Linked DNA regions of Drosophila melanogaster. The protein of the gene in region 3 interacts with the protein of the main gene of each other region in a pairwise test. Each region holds a gene or a part of one and is shown on either strand. Other genes may lie near its edges.

Region 1 (4,747 bases), on a different chromosome or scaffold from region 3:
CGCTGGCTTTTCGCTTTCGCGGAGGATCGTGGATATGTGGCTCCACCGATCGCCCAGTTGCCGTTTTCCTGTTATTTACAGTTTCTGGTTGCTTTCGCTGCTGCCCGTTGGAAAAATGGCAAGCTAGCATGCAGTTGACGTCGCCGCCGCCGCTGATCATTGACTTTCGTTCGTTCCCTTTTGCGCCAGGCGTTCGTCACGAAAATTGCGGAAAACGTTAGGGAAAAAGGAAAAAATACTATTCGAAAAAGAGATTTCTGTACCTAGTTAATTAATTCCTTGTACCCTTGCAATTTGCACAATCATATTATTTTTTATCATTGTCCTTGAATGTAAATTCATTTTTCGGGAAAATTTGGCATTGTTTGCTTTTTATTTTCAAGTCAAAACATTAAACCTTTTTGACTCAGAAGCAAATTCCTAAATACTTCATTTGATCTTCAAAAATAATTTTCAGGAAAGTATTTTCATGCCAAAAACTGCAGTTTTCCACTTTCTTCTCGGTGAAAAACAGCCCACAAACGCAAAAGCAACATGCAACATTTAAACTTCCGCATTGCAGAATTTGCTCTCCCACTCTGCCGTTCGGCCTTTCTCTTTCCTGCCTGCTCAGCTGAAGGTTCTTTGACTTGACCCCCCTTGAAGGCGCCCACACTTCTGCCCTCTCTCTTTCTCGCGCACACACACATGCCCATTGCCCTCTCCCTCGAGGATAGTGCAAACTAAGTAACGGTCCGAGTCTCTCTCTATTGCTCTCGCTCGCTGCATTGGTGTGTGTGAAATTGATCTTGAGTGGATGTGTGGTTGCACTTGGAAATGTTGGAAGTCGATGCCGACGTTGGCAGCAACGCCGGCAGCGGCAATAGAAATTGAAAATAGCAACCAGGAAAAGAGTTTGCAAATGAAAAAGTGCAGCAACAAAATACAGCTGCAACAGCGAGAGTGGCAATGCATGTTTCTGTTGTGCTGTTGCTGTTGCAACAGTTGCTGCTGCTGTTGCCGATTCTATTGCTGCAGCAGTTTCTAATGTGGCTGCAGCTTTCCAAGTTGTTGCTGTTGCAGCTTGTGTGGCTGCTGTTATTGCTGCTGCTCTTGCTGTCGCTGGCGCTGGTGGAGATTAGAAAGATAGAGCCTCCAGTACTCGCATCACATTGACTCTCTCCAACCGATCTGCTCCCTTCATCTCCTCCAGCGGCTCCACCTCATGCTCCGGCGGCGGCGGCGCTTCGCAGTTTTCCCACTCCATTGGGCCACACAGACGCAATGCATTCTATTTTCCTGCTCTTTCCACACACAGACCAGCGCACAGTTACTCACACTGGCGCAGAGGGACACGTTCTTGTTCTTCTGCGCCGCTGCTCCGTCGTCGTCTTGGACTTTTGTGTGTTGTCGTAGGTTCTACAGTTTAGCTTGGATTTTCCCTGGCGCATTTGGAGCGCTGCGAAGTTGGCGCTTGGATCTCGACGAAGCGAGAGTTTTGTACGCGCGATCACCATTTCTCCCAAAAAATAATAAAATCGACGCGCGAGTGTGCCGCCACAAAACGAACCTATATCGAAACGAGCGCCCGATTTTGGAACTAGCCTGAACTTGGAAACGAAGGACTTCGAAAACAACACGGAAGTGAATTGAAAAATTATGCAATACAAGCTATTACGAAGGCTAAGTGCAAGTGACAAACTTAAGCGAGGGGATTAGTAATGAGAAATGCGAAATGATCGTGATAATTGAATTCAAGCATTAACGAAAGAACTGCGCACAAAGTAGGGAGGCAATAATTACATATGTACATGGCTGGGAAAGGCCTTAACTAAACTTAGCAAACTAATAAATAGAAAAAAGGAAATATTGGCCAAATATTATAGTATTGGGAATATTAGGTTACTTGATATCAAAAATTAATGTCTATTTTATACACTTATTCTTAGACTTAATGTTAACTTATCGTACTTATTATGATTGGTTTTTCAAGATTACCAGAACTTGATAGATTGGTCTAGCTTTTGAAATCGGATAGCATTTTCTTTAAAGGACTTTGCCATATGCTAAAGCCTAACTTCTTTTTTCAATTCAGCCACAGCTGACAAAAGCGAAGAAAATTTGAAAGACCGTGAATCCTTTTGAAACGCCCTCTCCGGATTCCTCATTAAGTGCAAAAGATATAACATCGCAGAGATTTCCCATAAAAATGCTGATCAGGCGCCCTCGCAGGTTGCCAACGTCGATTTCCGCCAGCAGGACGATGATGAAGATGATGGATGCCCATCTCACCGATTCGATCCGAGCAACATGGATGTATACCAAATAGAGCTGGAGGAACAGGCACAAATCCGCTCCAAACTGCTGGTCGAAACCTGTGTGAAGCACTCGTCTTCGGAGCAGCAGCAGCTCCAAGTTAAGCAGGAGGACCTCATCAAGGATTTCACTCGGGACGAGGAGGAACAGCCAAGCGAAGAGGAGGCGGAGGAAGAGGACAACGAAGAGGACGAGGAAGAAGAAGGCGAAGAAGAAGAGGAGGACGAGGACGAGGAAGCCCTGCTGCCGGTAGTCAATTTTAATGCAAATTCAGACTTTAATTTGCATTTCTTTGACACACCGGAGGACTCGTCCACCCAAGGGGCCTACAGTGAGGCCAATAGCTTGGAATCCGAGCAGGAAGAGGAGAAGCAAACACAGCAGCATCAGCAGCAGAAGCAGCATCACCGGGATTTGGAGGATTGCCTAAGTGCCATTGAAGCTGATCCATTGCAGTTGTTGCATTGCGACGACTTCTATAGAACATCAGCCCTAGCAGAGAGTGTTGCAGCCAGTCTAAGCCCACAGCAGCAGCAGCAACGGCAGCACACCCACCAGCAACAACAGCAACAGCAGCAGCAGCAGCAACACCCTGGACAGCAGCAACATCAGCTCAACTGCACGCTGAGCAATGGTGGAGGTGCTTTGTACACCATCAGCAGTGTGCATCAGTTCGGTCCGGCCAGCAACCACAACACCAGCAGCAGCTCCCCCTCCTCCAGCGCCGCCCACTCTTCGCCGGACAGCGGCTGCTCGTCGGCCTCCTCCTCCGGATCTTCGCGATCCTGCGGATCCTCCTCTGCATCCTCCTCCTCGTCAGCGGTCAGCAGCACCATCAGCAGCGGCCGCAGCAGCAACAACAGCGTCGTCAACCCCGCAGCAACATCTTCATCTGTTGCGCATCTGAACAAAGGTACGTGCAATTTGCAACTGACACTGCGACTCTTCCGCGTTGTCGTCTCCTCTCCTCTGCTGCGGACCATTGTTGTCGGTCTTTGAAATTGTGTTCAATAAATTTGCATTCATTGCATAATAGCTGCAACAGCAATTGAAAGTCGTTGGGTCTTCGGTTTCTTCTCCTTTTGAGGAAACTATTAAAGCGCAGCATGGAAAATGTGAAAATGAATATAATTCGCTGTTATTGGCCAATGGCTGTTGCTGTTTCAGTTTTCTCTTTAGTGCGAGGAAATTGCTTTTCATGTTGCACGTCTGTCAATGTGCTTGCATTTGCCGCTGCATTTGCTTTTCCTTTTGGGTGCAGTGCAATTGAAAGCCATGGAAAAGATGTTTTAATTTTCATAAATCGCCTTGAATTGGTCTCGGCTCTCTTTTGCCTTGGATGATGGTATTTGAAGGGGCTAAGCCCATTCTACTCCTCCGGGAGTAGTTGGTGGCTCGAACGAATGGGTAGTTGGAACCGGAAATGCAACAAAACATAGGCTTAATAACTACTACGGTCAGCTGCTGCTTACACAGAGACTTTCAAAAAAAGAAACCAACATATATATTTTAAACAATTTTTTTTATAAATATCTAAATCCAATACATTTTTATTGCTGAATGATTTACCGCCACTAATAGCCAAGAAAATGATTATTTAACTTTAAATATAAATTTGTTTATTTTCAATAAATTTTATAATATTTTGAACTACAATTCGACATTATAAATACTATTCGGCTTGGCTGAACTTGCAAATTGCCTGGATTTTTTGGCGAAGATTTCATTTCGAGTCCTGGAATGGCAACATTTAATTGCGTCAATTAGTGCGAATGAAAATTAAATCTGTTAGGAAAGGCCTTGAAATCAAGCTGGGAATTAGAGGAAAAGTCAAAATCTCGACTGCTTTTTCCACGGCATTCAAATTGATATTCCTCTGCCGGGGCAAAAATTGACTGCAATCGCTCGTTGTCCACTCCACTCAATTAGTTGTCTTCAACCAGATAAATGCATGAAATGAAAATGGAAATGGGAAAAAGTCGAGGAAATATGAAGTCTTTGTCGTCTATCGTCCATGCCTCTGACTTGTCTGACAACGCGGAAATGCCAAGCAGTTTTCCACCAGCCAGTCAGCCAGCCAGCCAGCCAGCCAGTCAACCCACAACCCGCACCCCTTTTTCTTCGGCTGGATAAACAATGGCGTTTCAAATTGTCAACTTGCAAAAGCCACCAAATGATTTGCATTTGAACGCGGCGCGAAAATGAAAAGCAGCCACTTGAGTTTCCTTTGCGTTTTCTTTTCTTTTTCATTCCTGCCCGGGCCGACGACATTTTCCAGACGCCGTTGTTGTAGTTGTAATTGTTGTTGCACTCCAATTGTAAAAATTCAATTTGCAATTGCACAAGCGCGTAACGCGCCATCCACTGTAAGAAAAAACAAATGATGTAAACATGCATCACCAAAGTTGATCACCAAATAAATATTAACAAATTTAAACGGTTTCGGAAGTGA
Region 2 (7,895 bases), about 12 Mb from region 3:
ACTTTGCATCTCCATTGATGCAGAATTCTTTTGCGGATATTTGCAGTGCAAACAGTCCTACTCAATGAGTGGACATTAGGCCAATTAAGGCTACTTTCAGATGGCAAGATACGCAGATAGGTAGATCGAAAGATAGATATATGGATATGTGGATAGGTATCCGAGCGATAGAAGGCTGCACATGGACAACTGTTAGCCAGTTCGTAGAAGAGGCCGGAAAAACGCTGCCAACTGTCCAAGTTCGCTGGCAACTGTCCAGTAATCGAGGGGCAAAGGGGGTGTGGCATTGGGACAACTGCGCATTGCGGTTTCTGCATTTGTACATTTCTTTTTCATAATTTCTCGCATGTGCACTGAGAAAAAAGGGGGTATCCTTTCGGTCCTATGTCTCTGTCTTATGTCTTTGTCTTTATTTTTTGGTTTTTTCAGTGCCAAATTCTGGGCTTACTTCATTTAAATATTATATTTTATAACCAATTCGTTTTTAACTTAATATACTAAACTAAACTTCTCTCAGTGCTGACATTGCTGGCCGAGTGCAATTATTTTAAGCATTCAATTGGCATTGGCAGTTCGAACTCGAATCGACCGCAGACCGCAGGATATACGACTGGGCTGGCAATTATATGCATTTAAGTGCAATAACCGTCATCAGGACGAAGGACTCGGTTGACTTTTCCTCGCATTTGATGCTCCGGCAGACGCTAATTATTTTAATGCGCTCCGCAATTGAAGCGCGCGCTTCAGTCCGCTTTACCCCCGCCCCCGGCGCCCTAATTTCCCCGCCACTAATGACCTTCGCAGGTCACCTGACCTTTTCCCCCTTCCGCTCATGGTTCTCTCCAGGTTGGTTCAGTTCCTCGACCGGAATCAATATCAATCAAACGGAAACCGCCGCTCTCGACAAATTGCATTTGTTCATCCCGCTCCGCTTCCCTTCCTGCAATTAGTCCTGGACTAACATGTGGCCACCGAAACAACCCAAAGGTGAGCCTAACCACCGGGCTATTGGCGTGAAATTTTAATTGCCATCTTGTTGTCTGAGAGCGTGGAATCGAAAAAAGCGACGCCCAAATGTCGGGCGTATAAGGTTTTTCGACTCAAAAATCGAACAATTTGGTGTTAATTGAAGTTCTAATATATAAAGCAAACACATTTAAGGAGCTCTTAAAATATGTCAAGCCAAATGGGACTAAGATTATTTTTAATAAATCAATGATAAAACATGATTGATAAAATTGTTTACTGGCTTGACGTTATTCGCAGATTTCTAAGCGAATATATATAAAAGTATTATAATATTCTTATGTGATGGGAAAGACAGATGTTTTGACATTTCGGAATTGAAAAGTTTTGGTAATTTATGTCTTAATGGTCTAATTGTTAAAGCAGTGAACATAAAGCAGAGTTAATATTTTTGGAATAATATTTTGTTCACAAAGAAGAGTACTCTTCACATAGTAATGCAGTAGCATCGTCTCCATCTCTCAGATCCAACTAACTTCCTCGTAGCGCCATTTTAGGCCTTTTTCAAGGCCCTGAAGAGCTCAAGAGCGTTTGACCGACATTTGGTGCTATAAAAACCGAGAAACCGGGGAGAGACTTTATTTCACCACGCCGTGGTGGATTCACCACGGTGCCGGCAACATGGCGCTGCGCGAGAGAGTGACAGCCGATGAGACGGCGAGAGCCGTGGAAGCGAGAGGCAGCGAAAGCGAGCGACTGGCCATCCCCCTCCGGCCTTCGGTAGCATATGCGGCCCAACCACCGCCTATGACAAAGTGGCAAAATTGTTGCCACAGCCGCCGCTCGAGCCTCAGCCGCAGTCGGCGTCGGCAGCAGCGTTGGCAGCGGCGGATCGGGCAGGTGCGTTTCATAAACGTTCAGTCTCGTTTTGGCAGCCAAGCCGCTCACGACGTCGCTGGGTGAAAAGTTGAGATAAGGCCAAGAAAACAAAAAAACAAACAAATAGAAGACAACTTGACATCTATAGGAAACTCCAGTGAATGTGAATTTTTTTAGTGAAGTGTTGAAAGCAAATATAATTCGTATAAATAATCGGCAAGAAAAGGGAGAAAGAGTGAAACCCCCTAAGTCCTATGAAAGACTCGATGAGCATACTCACCCAAACGCCCAGCGAGCCAAACGCAGCGCATCCCCAGCTGCACCACCACCTCAGTACGCTGCAGCAGCAGCACCACCAGCACCACCTCCACTACGGCCTGCAGCCACCGGCGGTGGCTCACAGCATCCATAGCACCACCACCATGTCCTCCGGCGGCAGCACCACCACCGCCTCGGGCATCGGTAAGCCCAATCGGTCCCGCTTCATGATCAACGACATTCTGGCGGGCAGTGCGGCGGCCGCTTTCTACAAGCAGCAGCAGCATCACCAGCAGTTGCACCACCACAACAACAACAACAATTCGGGCTCCAGCGGCGGCAGCAGTCCCGCTCACAGCAACAACAACAACAACATTAATGGCGATAACTGTGAGGCATCCAATGTTGCTGGCGTCGGTGTGCTGCCATCTGCCCTGCACCACCCACAACCACATCCGCCCACGCATCCGCACACACATCCGCATGCGCTAATGCATCCGCACGGCAAGCTGGGGCACTTTCCACCCACCGCCGGCGGCAATGGGTTAAACGTGGCTCAATATGCGGCGGCCATGCAACAGCACTATGCCGCTGCTGCTGCCGCGGCTGCTGCGCGCAACAATGCAGCTGCTGCTGCAGCCGCCGCTGCTGCCGCTGCAGCTGCTGGTGTAGCCGCACCACCCGTCGACGGGGGAGTGGATGGCGGGGTGGGGCTGGCGCCACCGGCGGGCGGCGATCTGGACGACAGCAGCGATTACCACGAGGAGAACGAGGACTGCGACAGCGGCAACATGGACGATCACAGCGTTTGTAGCAATGGTGAGGTGAGCCTCTGTACTATGCGGGGGGTGGGGTGTTGGCGGCATTAGAGGGTGGTGGGTCAGTATAGCATTCTCGCTAATTCTCGAAAATGCATTTTCAAGCAGGAATTTTCTTCATTCAAAACAAGTTCGCAATGTTTTATAAACAAATATTGGGTCGAAATAGAACCAATTATCAACAAATCTGATTAATGTTGAGCCTTATGATAAAAAATATTCAATATTCAAATTATCCAAGTCATTTTAAAATAAAGCTATCACTGCCTGGTGCTAAGCTTATAAAGTACATATCAGATATTTTTACAACTCTACGACCACTTGCCTTTTTTTTTAAACAGTTGTCCAGATTGTTTTGTAAAGCTAGACACAAAACATGCAGATCTGATAAGTTTAATATTTTTTAATTTGAACGCAAATTTTTTATTAATGATATTGATATTGCGTTTTAGTAACATATTCCCTTTAGGTGATATTAAATATATTTGCACTTAACCAATTCTCAAATGTAGTGAGTGTAAAGGCAGTCGTAAAATAAAATTACTCAAATTCCCCTTTAAATCGTGTTAATGGTTCTGTTGTGAAACGCATTTCATCATAGCCAATTGAAAAAGTAATTCAATTAGGTAAAAAATAAGTAAGTCCGTTGTGCAGCAGTCAAGTTCGTTGCCTAAGTCTTTTGTATTGAAGCGTGCGCCTGAAATGGGGGCTAAAGTGTGGAGCGCGGGGGTGGGGCGGCGGCCCTCGTCGATGTCGCTTTGCAAAACAAACTGTAAAAATTATTGCATGACCATTTTACATTCTCGTTCTTGTTGCTTCTATTTGTTGTGGTTTTAGTTGAAAAAAAAAAATACTTTTTCACGCTTTGTTTCCGTCATTGCGAAGCTTCTAAAGTCCCCTTGCCTCCTCGCCCCTCCTCAAACTTGGGGGCATGCACCTGCGAATCTGAGAGCTATTATGGCAGAATGGAGGCGTGGCTCGCAGTGGGCGGGGGGTTGGCGGAAGAAGAGGATCTGCCTGAAATGCAACAACAAAATGCAGTTTAAAACTGCCGCAGCCGCAGAAAAAATCTCAAATAATTACACACATCGCACTCACTGTTCCCCGCTTCGCCGCTCGCTCTGCTTCCTCCTCCTATCTCACGCACCTGCCCCCTTCGCAATCATTTAATTGTGGAAATTGTTATAAAAATGCATTTAACCCGCTTTAATAGACGCCCCATGGCAATGGCAGCCGGGCAGCAGCAAACGAAAAAATGTTGCAGTCTGTTTGCTCATCTCATCGCCACTCGGTTCGTTTTACTTCGCTTTTGGCCAGCTTCTCATGCGCTCCACTCCATCTGGGCCCTGTTTTGTGCCATTTATTGCCGCAATTTCCTGTTGCCAATTGCACTTTTATAAACGGTAGTCGCGTCGGCCAGCTCTTTTGGGATGACAGCCAGCGGGCAGGGAAGGCGGCAATCCGTCAATTCATTGGAATTTCACAATTGCGATCAGCTTCAGTTACAAAAAAACCAAAATGAATATTGATCACTAGATTTTATTTATAAATTTAATGAAAAATCATAATTATAATAATAAAATCAGATAGGAAAGTTAACTTTTAAAGCTTATATTTGAATTATAAATTTGTAAAAAAAAAAACAAATTAGGTTTTTTTTTAACAACACTGTCGCCCAATTTTATTTGGCACATAATTCTTGATTTTTGGTTTTGCCTTTTTTTTAACGCTCCACAAATTATCGCCCGCAAATCGATAATTCAGCAAGTCGGCGCCAACATTCGTGAGTAATTTTCTTTAATTGCAAATTAATTTTATTCAATTGCGGCATTATCGCTCATTTATCGCTGCCATTAATCATTTATCGTTTACGTTTTATATGGTAAACAACTTTCGCCTTGGCGGCAAAATAAGCTCTTGATTAGCGATGATTAATAGAAATAATTAGCAATGCATCTTTATTTGCTTCATATTTCAAAGTTCAATTAGAGGCATAGCTGGATTTTCAATAAATAAAATAATATTGACTTCTTGGTATCTCATTATCAATAACAAAGATTGAGTCCACTTATTTAATGGATCGTGCAAAATTAAAATCTTGAAAAGATTTTATTATTGTTTGTCTGCTTCCTGATAAATTTATATGCTTAAAACAACAAAAATATGCTAAGATTGTTAATTTCCCCGTTTCTAGGCCTTATTAGACCAAATTTAAATGCGGCACTTGGCAAGTTTTCGCTTTAAATAATTTAACGCTTGAGAGTTTACTTAGCCCGCGTCAACCCCTTAACCCCCTCGTGCCCATGGGCCAAAAACTCGCTCTCGCTTATCGGGTAACCACCATCGGTTGAATTTACATAAATTTTATGTACTAAATGGCTGGCCAGAAAAGGTGGAAAAGCGGCCTTTTCTGGCCAAGAACACTTTTCGCAAAAAGGGGTGCTTTGGCCTGGTCAGCTTGCCTATCTCTCTTGCGGCTTTTTGTGGCAAGTTTAGACATTTTGCGGCACGTTTTTATTACACTCACACACACACGAACCGCTTTGTGAGCGGAAGCGGCAATTGCGTGGCCATAAACGAGCCTCTAACTGTATCTGCAACTGTTTTAATAGATCGCACAGAGATCTAAATCGAATTAGCCTTATGGGCATACCAAATCACCAACAAATAGTGATTTTCGGTAAACCATCTCGGCAAATGTTAAAAACTAGTTTTTAGGCATTTAAAGTTTTATAGAAATGTAACTAATATACCTTCGTTTTAAGTTTAAAAGGGGGAAGTGAATATTATAGTATGTATTATAAACAAACTTCATATTTTATGATAATAAAAAGTTTTGGAGTTTTACGCATATCCTACTTTGCCAAATGTGGTATTAGATTAGACATAATGGACTTTTTGCCCTTAGTTTCTTAATATTTCTAAAATTGAAATTCTCTTTTCTTTCAGGCGGTAAAGATGACGATGGCAACAGTGTCAAGAGCGGCTCCACCAGCGACATGAGCGGTCTGAGCAAGAAGCAGCGAAAGGCGCGTACCGCCTTCACGGATCACCAGCTGCAGACGCTCGAGAAGTCCTTCGAGCGGCAGAAGTACCTTAGCGTTCAGGAGCGCCAGGAGCTGGCCCACAAGTTGGATCTGAGCGATTGCCAGGTGAAAACTTGGTACCAAAACCGCAGGTGGGTTTTAACTTTAATGATTTTTTAATTTGTATTAGTTTTCAAAGATGAACTTAAGAAAATACAATAAAATCTATACACATATATTCTTATTGAAAGTATACTAAAGTTTGGTATCTATTATCATTTTGCAGAACCAAATGGAAGCGCCAAACAGCAGTGGGCCTGGAACTCCTCGCAGAGGCTGGAAACTTCGCGGCCTTTCAGCGACTTTACGGCGGATCGCCTTACCTGGGCGCCTGGCCGTATGCGGCCGCTGCCGGCGCCGCCCACGGAGCCACGCCCCACACGAACATAGACATCTATTACCGTCAAGCGGCCGCTGCGGCCGCCATGCAGAAGCCACTGCCCTACAACCTATACGCCGGCGTTCCGTCCGTCGGAGTGGGCGTCGGGGTGGGCGTGGGTCCGGCACCCTTCTCCCACCTGTCCGCCTCCAGTTCGCTGTCCTCGCTGAGCAGCTACTATCAGAGTGCCGCTGCGGCTGCCTCCGCTGCCAATCCGGGCGGACCGCATCCGGTAGCGCCACCACCTTCGGTGGGCGGAGGATCTCCGCCCAGTGGCCTGGTCAAACCGATTCCGGCCCATTCCGCATCCGCCTCGCCGCCACCAAGGCCACCATCGACGCCGAGTCCAACGCTGAATCCGGGCAGTCCGCCAGGACGATCCGTTGACAGCTGTTCCCAGTCGGACGACGAGGATCAGATCCAGGTGTGAGCGGTACGCCGGAGTGCGGCGATTGTGTGCGTGTGCTAATCATCGGGTTTGGGCGGTCTCAAAAGTGCGATTTCCAAGGGGATACATAAACTACATAGTTGGTTTCACGAATTTAAGTTACATATCACTCATTTTGTAAATCAGTCGGATCGATGATTTTATTGTTCCATAAAACATAAAAGTTTACATGGCATTTAGGTTATTTAGATGAATCAGCAGTTGCATTATTCGTGCACCATATCACAACATCGTTTTTATGGTTCAAACTTTAGTACAAAGGTATTTTGTTTAAATTTAACCAAAATATATTTGGAGGCATTTATAAACTTACGATCTAAACAAATTATTGTTTAAGGTCATAAAAAGCAGCACAAATGAGTTCAGTATTCAAAACAAAATCATGGAACCGAAAATTTGAATGGAACATGCATATTAAAAAAAAAAACATTTGTCAAAGATCAATATCCACAAGAATTCGCGTTTTTGAATCTCCCCTTAAGCCCCGCTTGTGTGTGTGTGTGCCTGCGTGTGTATATATATATTAATATCCCTGTGAATCTGTGTGTGTGCTTAATTTATTTGATTTGCTCTTAGTAACTTATTCGAAATGTTTTTTAAAGAGTTTTTTTTTTTCAATATAAGATAATGAAGTAAAATTAAGCAAATATTTATTTAAATGTTGTAAAAACTAGCAGCCAAAAAAGCAAAATAATTTTGTATAGTTAAGCCTAACCACGAAATGTATTATCGAATAAACAATTTTTTTTTTGTCGGTAGCCTAGACCTATAAACGTTGTAACTGTAAAATGTAAAGTACATTTAACCGCATATTTTTTTGTCTAAATAAAAAATAACAGAATGTGAGAATAGAGCAATCGTTCTGCGGGATTTCGTTGGGAGTGGGGGAGGTTGGACGTGTCCCGGGGCAATTAATATAATGACCAACAGAAACAATTTACAAACGATGTGTGCGGGGAGGGGTGGCGGGAAAGGGGGTTTTATGACGACGTGCGAGCCAACCCCTAATGATAATAATTGCATGCAAAATGCATTTAACCGCAATTAGTGCATTTATTAGG
Region 3 (7,766 bases):
GTAATGGTTTATTAAAAAAAAAATAAAAACACTTAAGCTAATGCCTAACATAAATACATACCGAATTTAATCGAATTGTTTTTCACTTCTTGTTTTCGTTACTTTTCTCTATGCGTAATTACTATCAATTGTAGGTAATTTGTATTTGCTTTCTGTTTTTTTTTTTTTTTTGTTTTTTCAACATTATATTTTCCGTTTCGCTGCGCCTTTGCATTACAATAAAATTTTAATTCGATTTAAGTTTTACAGATTTCTCAACCCGATCTCATGTTTATATAATATAATGTATATATAGATGTGGGTGTTATGTGCATAATTTTATAAGTCAGTTGTGTTTTTGTCTGTCCATCTGGTGCTGCTGCTTTTTCTCCTTATCTCTTTCGATGTCATGCATTGCTGCTAATATTCTTGGAAATTTATTCAGGGGCATTTGGTTCCTCTATTGCTTTGGCTGCTGAATTCAAAACAGGAAGTGGGAGACAGACACCAAACTGAACCAGCAGCTTGCCGCCGACTCTAAATTCGGGATGTTTTGGAAGTCCACTCGCCGATTTCAAGATAATTAAGTGGATTCTGATACCCAAAAAGTTGATGCTGAACTCAATGCGAGAGTAGGACAAGTGCATCTCAGAAAAACTAAAAGCTAGCTTTAATCGATGAACTCGACTAACTCCCCCATTCCATTCTGATTCAGAATTCAAGGACGAAAACGCTTCCTACTGCCTGTTCCATACCTTTTTTTCACCAATCCAGCATACGCTTAACTCCACGGGTAACGCATATAAAGAATGATTTCTACATCAACTTCAGACACCCAAAAGTATTTAGAGATCTGCAGAGACTCCAAAACATCCGCGCCATATATCTAACATATTTTACGTGTGTATGTGCTGAATGTGATGCTACTTTGGCTATGGCTATGCTAATCAGGGACTTTAGCAGCTGATCGTTCGGGGCTTAAGCTAAAAGAGACCTTCTTTCCATTCTTAACTAGCCTACTTAGTGGGTATGAAACGCGCCTTGACCGCCTGTCCCATCGGCAAGTGCAGCAGTTGCTGCTGCTGCGCCGCCTGCTGCTGTTGTTGCGCCGCCTGCTGCTGCTGTTGTTGTGCCGCCTGCTGCTGCGCCTGCTGCTGTGCCGCCTGCTGCTGCATGTGCTGATTGATCTGCTGCTGGATGGACAGGCCGCTGACATTGCTGATATGCTGGCTGTGGAGCGATTCGTTGATCTCGATCTTGATGGCCGTGGCGGCCAGCGTTGTCGCCTTGTTCTTGTTCTTCGGCGGACGCCCACCTGGATATGCAACGAAAGGCGTAGTGAGATTCAAAGTGAATGAGTGAATGGTGAGCACTTACGTTGCCCTGTCGTGTGCTGCAGTGACAACGGCTGGCCGATCATCGCCAGCGGCTGTTGCGACGTCTGCAGCGTGCCCGCCTTCTTGGATCGCTTCGGAGGCGGCAGCTCGTGGTGGGCGTGATTGGTGAGCAGGTGCTTGGAGAGGTGCTGGCGCACCGCAAAGGACTCGGCACAATTGGCCACCGGACAGGAGAGGTAGCGACCCTCGACATGGCGCTGCACGTGCTTCTTCAGCAGCGACTCCTGATTGAAGCTACTCGGGCAGATGTCGCACTTGAACTTGAACTCGTCGTGCATCTTGAGGTGCTGGTCGAGATGGGCCTGCTGCAGGAACTTCTCGTCGCACTTGTCGCACTCGTACGGAAAGGCCAGGCCGTGGGTCTTCATGTGCGTATGCAGCTGCGACTGCAGTTTGAAGTTCTTCTCCGGACAACGCGGACAGTAGTAGCCGGTGACCCCAGCGTGCGCCTGCAGGTGCTGGTTCAGCGAGGTCACCTGCGTGAACTTCTTGTTGCACACGTTGCAGCAGTACTGCTGCACCTTGTGGTGCGACTTCATATGGTTGTTCAGGTTCGTCACCTGCAATGCGAGAACATATCGAGCCGTTATTATCATAAATCCTCTGCAATTTATCAATTTATCTTGGAACTGACCTGGGCGAAGCTGCGACCGCACTCCGGTTCATTGCAAACGAAGGGCCGTTCGCCGGTGTGCAGCCGGCGGTGATTGTTCAAATTGGTGATCTGCGTGAAGGTCTTGCCACAGTCCACGCACTGATATGGCCGATCGTTCGTGTGGATGCGTTCGTGGTTCCGCAAGTTGGCCGCCTGCGTGAAGCCTGAAAATCCAAGAGGTACATCGATTGTTAAGAACCAGATGATGTGTGCGAACGGCATATGGGACTCACCTTTGTGGCAGTAGGTGCACACAAACTTACGCTCCGCCGAGTGATTTCGTATGTGCGTCATGAGCGAGGATTTGCGCGAGAAAGTTTTGTTGCATAGCGGGCAGGAGCCCTCCTCGTTGAATATCAGATCCACCTTAAAGAAACAAATCGAACATTAGTTGCAAAGGGCTTGCCTTCTACCGCGGGTTACCTTCCATCAGAAAGGCATTATATATGATATGCCATTTTACTTTAATACAACCTACTATAAATTTATGCGAAAAACCTTTTTTCTAAGCTGTACATTATATATGCATATAGTTCTAACGAATAAGTAGCCAAGTGCACATCACTGTGTCACTATCGCCCTCCCACTCCCACTCACGCTCAACAAGCTGGCGGCCAAAAGAACGGATTGCAAATTCCCGTGCGAATTCAGTTTGTTTATTGGGGAATCACTTGAGTTACATTTAATATTTTTCACGAGCTTTTTTTTTATTATAATTATTTTATTTATTTTTCTGCGTGCCACGCACACCCACACACCAAAAGCGCCAACTGAAAATGAATTTTTTCCGCTTTACACAGCGCACAAAAACGCCGAGCTGCGTCGACTTCGACGTCGACGTCGACAGAGCAGATATTAATGGAAAAAGAAGCACAAAATATATGTGTATATACATATATCTATATATATATATATATATACATATAAATATAAAGGAAAACAAGAAAATGAGCAGTGCGAAATGTAGCAAGTGGAATAGAAAATACTCTCACGCTCAACACTTTTCTAACCCGTTTGTAATGCATATCTGTAGGGCCTACCGTTTTTAATCTTCTATAAGAACTTTCCAACACTACCACGTCGACTGTGTGATGGAATGAGACTGTACTGAAGTTTTTTTTTTGAAATTTATGTAAATAGCAGCAATAGTAAATAGTATCTAAACATGTCTGCAATAGAGCATTCCCAAGTCGTCGCAAGGCAATTTTACATTTATTTATACATTTTTTTTTTTTGCAATTCTCTGTTGCATGATGGAAAAAGAAAGGCAACAAGAACATGCAAAGAAACGGCGAAATAAGAAGTGAAGAAGAAAAGCAGCGGCTATGAATGTGCAGTGTGTCCGTGTGCATTTATGTATATGTATATGTAAGACTTTTGTGAGCGGGGGAGTAGTAGTGAAATGTAAGAAAATGAAGAGAAAATAGCACAACAATAATAAACAAGTGCAGCAAAAGGAGCAGGAGTCGAACTCCCTGGGAAGTAAAGCACTCTTCTGAAAACGGTTGATGGGGGTCTTCAAACCCCTATAATTCCAAATGCAATGCATCTACTGAGGATTGCAGTGAACTCTGTAATTAGGTTTAAATTGTCAATTTTTTTGAATCATTTATAGTTTGATGGGCAATTGCATTGATTGGATTCCTAAACCATAGAACACTTTTCGTGGACTATTAAACATTAGGATTAAATTTTAAATTTATTCATAGATATTAATATACATATTCAAGACGTTCATATTTTAGTTGAAAATAAGAACGACCTTCAGTTATTTACTTTATTTATCTCCTTTAGTAAGCCCTTTGCAGCACTGTATTCGCTGCCACTTCTTGCCATGCCTCTCGTAACACTACACGTAGTGCAACCCACTCACTATGCCCTTTGCAACACTCTCCCTGCCTTGGTATCCCAATCCCTGAAATGGACTTACGTCTTCGGAGTCGTCCTGCGACTGTAGGTTCTCGGAAGAACTGGATGATTGCATTTGCTGCTGTTGTTGTTGTTGCTGTTGCGAGTTCTGATGCTGCTGCTGCTGCGGATTCTGATGCTGCTGCTGCTGCGCGATGGCGTCGCTGTCGCTGGAGGAGGCCGTCGACGAGGAGGTGGCCGCCGCTGCTGCAGAGGCGGCAACTGCGGCCGAGGCAGAGGCAGCGACGGCTGCAGCGGCCGCCGCCGACTGATGGAAGTTGGAATTATTTGTCAACTGCTCCGAGCAGCGGACGCACGTGGGTATGCTATAGCCGGGCACCTGGAACAACTGTAGGGCGGGGGAATAGAATAGAACAGAACAGGACACGTGAATTAGAGAGTGCTTCCAATTGGAAAAAAAAAACCAATAATGCTCTTTATTTATTGTGGCAACTCAATCTTATTCCACACATACCCTCCCCCTTCCATGCCAACTAGCCCTTTCTCTTTTCCACCAACTAGAAATAAGAGCCAAGAAGATAAACACACGCACACACACAGGCACGCACACATGGAGAGCGAAAAAGAAAGAAAAGAAACTACAATAACAACAGCACCAGCAGCTCGTTGCTTTGTTGTTGTTGTTTTCATTTCATGTTATTTTTTTTCTTCGGTACAACGTTTTGTTATTCTTTCGCTTTTTGTTTTGCTTTGCCGCCGCTCTGCCAGCGGCGGCGGCAGAGGCGTCGCCTACAAAAAAGGGGTTATTTGGTAATTGTTTAAATAATGAACTAAAAACCAAGCAAAGTTAGATCTGTTTTGTTAGTTTTATAACCGCTTAACTTTAAATTTTTGGGCTTAGATGCCCAATATAGTAAACCCTCTGTCACTAAATTAACGCGCAGCCACTGCGTATTTGGCTGCCTTGGCGCAATTTCTGTCATTTTGTTTTAATATGTATTTCTTTTTGTGCGGTTCATGGGCGGCGGGAGGGGGCTGAAAGAGGGGGGCCTGTTCGGGGGAATAGGTTGAAAAGGAGTCAAAGTGAAAAGCGAGTGGCGAGCGTAAGCAAAATGTAAAAATAATATTTTTTCAAGTTGTCGGCTTGAACAACTTTTCGGGCTGAGTTGGCTAAAAATAAAAATTGTTCAGCAATAGTTTGGGGTCGCATGTGTATGTGTATTTCTTATTTCTGTGTGTGTGCGTTTGTATGTGTGTGGGGAAAGGGGGGCAATGCGCGCGCTTTTGAACCCCGCCCCCTGCGCCAACAACCCGCCCGCACAATAACAGTAGCGCGAATTCAATTGTTTAAACTCCACCAAAAGAAAAAAAATCAATAGAAATAACAAAGTGTATATACCTAAATCACATGTGTGTATATCTTTTTTTTTTTGTTAACATACCGTTGCCGTTTGGAAGCACAATCTACAGATGGTGTCCATTATAACAGTAAATAAGGAATAGGATGGGGAGCAGGAGAAGGAGGATGCACTTTGTTGCTGACTTTTGCCCCCTCTGCGGTCGTTGTTGTTGTTGTTGTCGTCCTTCTCCCTCGCAATTTACCGCTATCTTTACCGGTTAACATTCAGCGCCGTTTTTCTTTTTCGTTTATTATTATTTAGTTCGTTTTTTTTCTATCTTTTTCCTTTTCCTTCCTACTATAAGTTTGTGAACACGATCCAAACGATGTGTGGTTGTATTTGAAACTAACTTTTTGGAGTTTGGTTTGCGTTTGGATTTCGGTGATCGCTATATGGCATATTATGATGGCAAAAACAAAAAAAAAACTATATAAATGATATAGAAATTTGATTTATACGATATTTTCGTGGTACACACACACACGCGCGTTGTTTATGTTTGCCTTGCACTTGCACATACAAGCAAAAATGCGGCGCTGTTGTTGTTGCTGCTTCGAAGTTCTGCTTCTTTTTTTTGCTTAATTCCTTTGCCCTTTTTTTGGCGTAGTTACACGTGAAAAAAAAAACAAACCAGCGCGTTCGAATGCGTTTTTTTTTTGTATTTTACAATTCACGACGAAGTTTTTGTCCGTCGTCTTTTTTCCCTTTTTTTTGGGGCCCGATGTTATTGTTGCGCTGTATGCGTGAGCCGTGTGTGTGTATGTGTGGGGAAAAAACGAATACGATAAGAATACGCGGTATAGTTGTGCTGCTCTAACCCACAGGTTGGCTTGGCCGGTGCTCCTTGGCCTGGCCTATCGATATTTCTATCGATTTCCGTAATCGAAAACGAGGCGGGTAATGGAATCGTTGTTGAAAACAAGTTTTTTAATTTATTATTTATTTAATATTTAATTGCAAGTCCGAAAGATTTATTTTATCATAGGTTATTTTATTTAAATAATTGATGGTGTTTTTTAGGCAGCCATAGAATCATGAACTTTATTTTACAACAGAATAAATATAAAATCATTTTACAGAACAAAGTGAAACAAACATAATACAAAACTTTCACAATAATTAAACAAACTATGCTAAACGATGGGTACAAATAATAAACACTTTAAATTGGATACTTTTCACAATATTAAATCTACTGTGTAATCTAATAATAAAATGAAATGGACCTTTTTTTAAATACAGTAGACAAATGTCCAGAAAAACAGATTAAAGACGAGAAAGGAGAGCGGAAAAACGAATCTGGCTCGACTATCAATCCACATGGCTATTTCCTGGGGCGTTAGCGTGGTCCAGCCACTCAGATCGATCTCCTCCTGGTGCCCCGCGCTCTCCGTTCGGTTATTGTTGGTCAAAGTTTGGCTGCTGCTGGCAGCACTGATCGCTCCAGTGGACTGGGCAGAGCCCATGGATCCAAAGGCACTCTCCACAAAGTTAACATCCATCTTCTGGACGACGCGGCTGGTCCTCTGCTGATCCAGAACTTGGCCCTCCTTAATCGTGGTGATGGGCAAATTGACGGTTAGGTAATTGTTGAAACCGGCACCGCCCAGCGAGCCGGTATCCGCTGTCTTATGCAGAGCCGTGCCCGAAAAGGATCTGGATCTGGCGTGACTGCGTCGTCTGAGCAGATTCGGCGATAGAGTTGACTTCAGGATGTGTTTGCTGTTCAGTTTCTTGACGGGCACACTCTTCTTACGACGCCAAATCGTGTTAACAAAGGCGAACTCCACCATGCTGCCAAATATGAAGATGGTGCAGCCCAGGAACCACACCTCTGACACCTTGATGTAGCTAACCTTTGGCAGAGTCTTTCCCTGTGCCGAGGCCAGGGTAATGAATGTCAGCAGGGTGCTGGTGCCCAGCGTGATGCGCGGCGGCGCCTGATCTGCTTGCAGCCAGAACGATACCCAGGATATGGCCACAATCAGCATGGAGGGTAGAAAGTAGTCCATCAGGTAAAAGCCAACCACTCGCGTCAGGTGAACGGTGAAGCTGAGGGAGCTGTAGTTGCCGGCAAAGGCTCCATGACGCAGGTCACTCAAATCGGCATTGATTACCGTCTCGTTTGACCAGGAACGCTGCAGCACAAACTCGGTGAGATGCAGTGCCCCATCGTAGGTTATCGGACGCTTCTGCTCCCAGTGGAGGACCAGTTCCGACGTATTGTACATCCAACTCTCCAGCACCGTCGAGCAGTGCTGCTCATCGAATGGGAACTTCTTAAGGTTGAGCCAGCAATAGAGTGTCGCCTTGATGCGATTCGAAACGATCACTGTGCCATCGGGCGATATCGAGGTGAGGATGTCCTTCTCCGTGAGACCTACCAATTAGTTGCAATCAAGCACGAGTCTACTCCAGACTCTACCGTACTCACCCAAAATACTGGAGTCGCGCTCATTGGCTAGA

Evidence for each region. Proteins that work in one complex are often made in the same cells at the same time.
Region 1: the proteins of CG32772 (region 3) and Eip78C interact in a two-hybrid assay, tested with the Drosophila melanogaster proteins (one large-scale study listed by BioGRID).
Region 2: the proteins of CG32772 (region 3) and B-H1 interact in a two-hybrid assay, tested with the Drosophila melanogaster proteins (one large-scale study listed by BioGRID).

Annotation. Positions count from the first base shown.
Region 1 is NT_037436.4:21,225,184-21,229,930, forward strand, and holds the start of Eip78C (Ecdysone-induced protein 78C), read left to right. Parts: upstream 1-1,735; 5' UTR 1,736-2,289; coding exon 2,290-3,208; intron 3,209-4,747. UniProt on the Drosophila melanogaster protein: Induces the early late puff 78C which triggers puparium formation and development.
Region 2 is NC_004354.4:17,395,595-17,403,489, forward strand, and holds B-H1 (BarH1), read left to right. Parts: upstream 1-1,883; 5' UTR 1,884-2,099; coding exon 2,100-2,922; coding exon of another isoform or gene 2,923-2,927; intron 2,928-5,870; coding exon 5,871-6,099; intron 6,100-6,233; coding exon 6,234-6,816; 3' UTR 6,817-7,684; downstream 7,685-7,895. UniProt on the Drosophila melanogaster protein: B-H1 and B-H2 are regulated by members of the wg signaling pathway; wg and dpp. B-H1 and B-H2 are coexpressed and functionally required in R1 and R6 receptor cells and primary pigment cells for normal eye development.
Region 3 is NC_004354.4:4,907,374-4,915,139, reverse strand, and holds the start of CG32772 (uncharacterized protein), read right to left. Parts: upstream 6,039-7,766; 5' UTR 5,821-6,038; exon of another isoform or gene 5,689-5,820; 5' UTR 5,382-5,688; coding exon 5,343-5,381; intron 4,289-5,342; coding exon 3,962-4,288; intron 2,760-3,961; exon of another isoform or gene 2,629-2,759; intron 2,398-2,628; coding exon 2,265-2,397; intron 2,196-2,264; coding exon 2,011-2,195; intron 1,937-2,010; coding exon 1,357-1,936; intron 1,295-1,356; coding exon 996-1,294; 3' UTR 1-995. Other genes in the region: CG6927 (uncharacterized protein), read right to left, coding at 6,533-7,680, 7,735-7,766.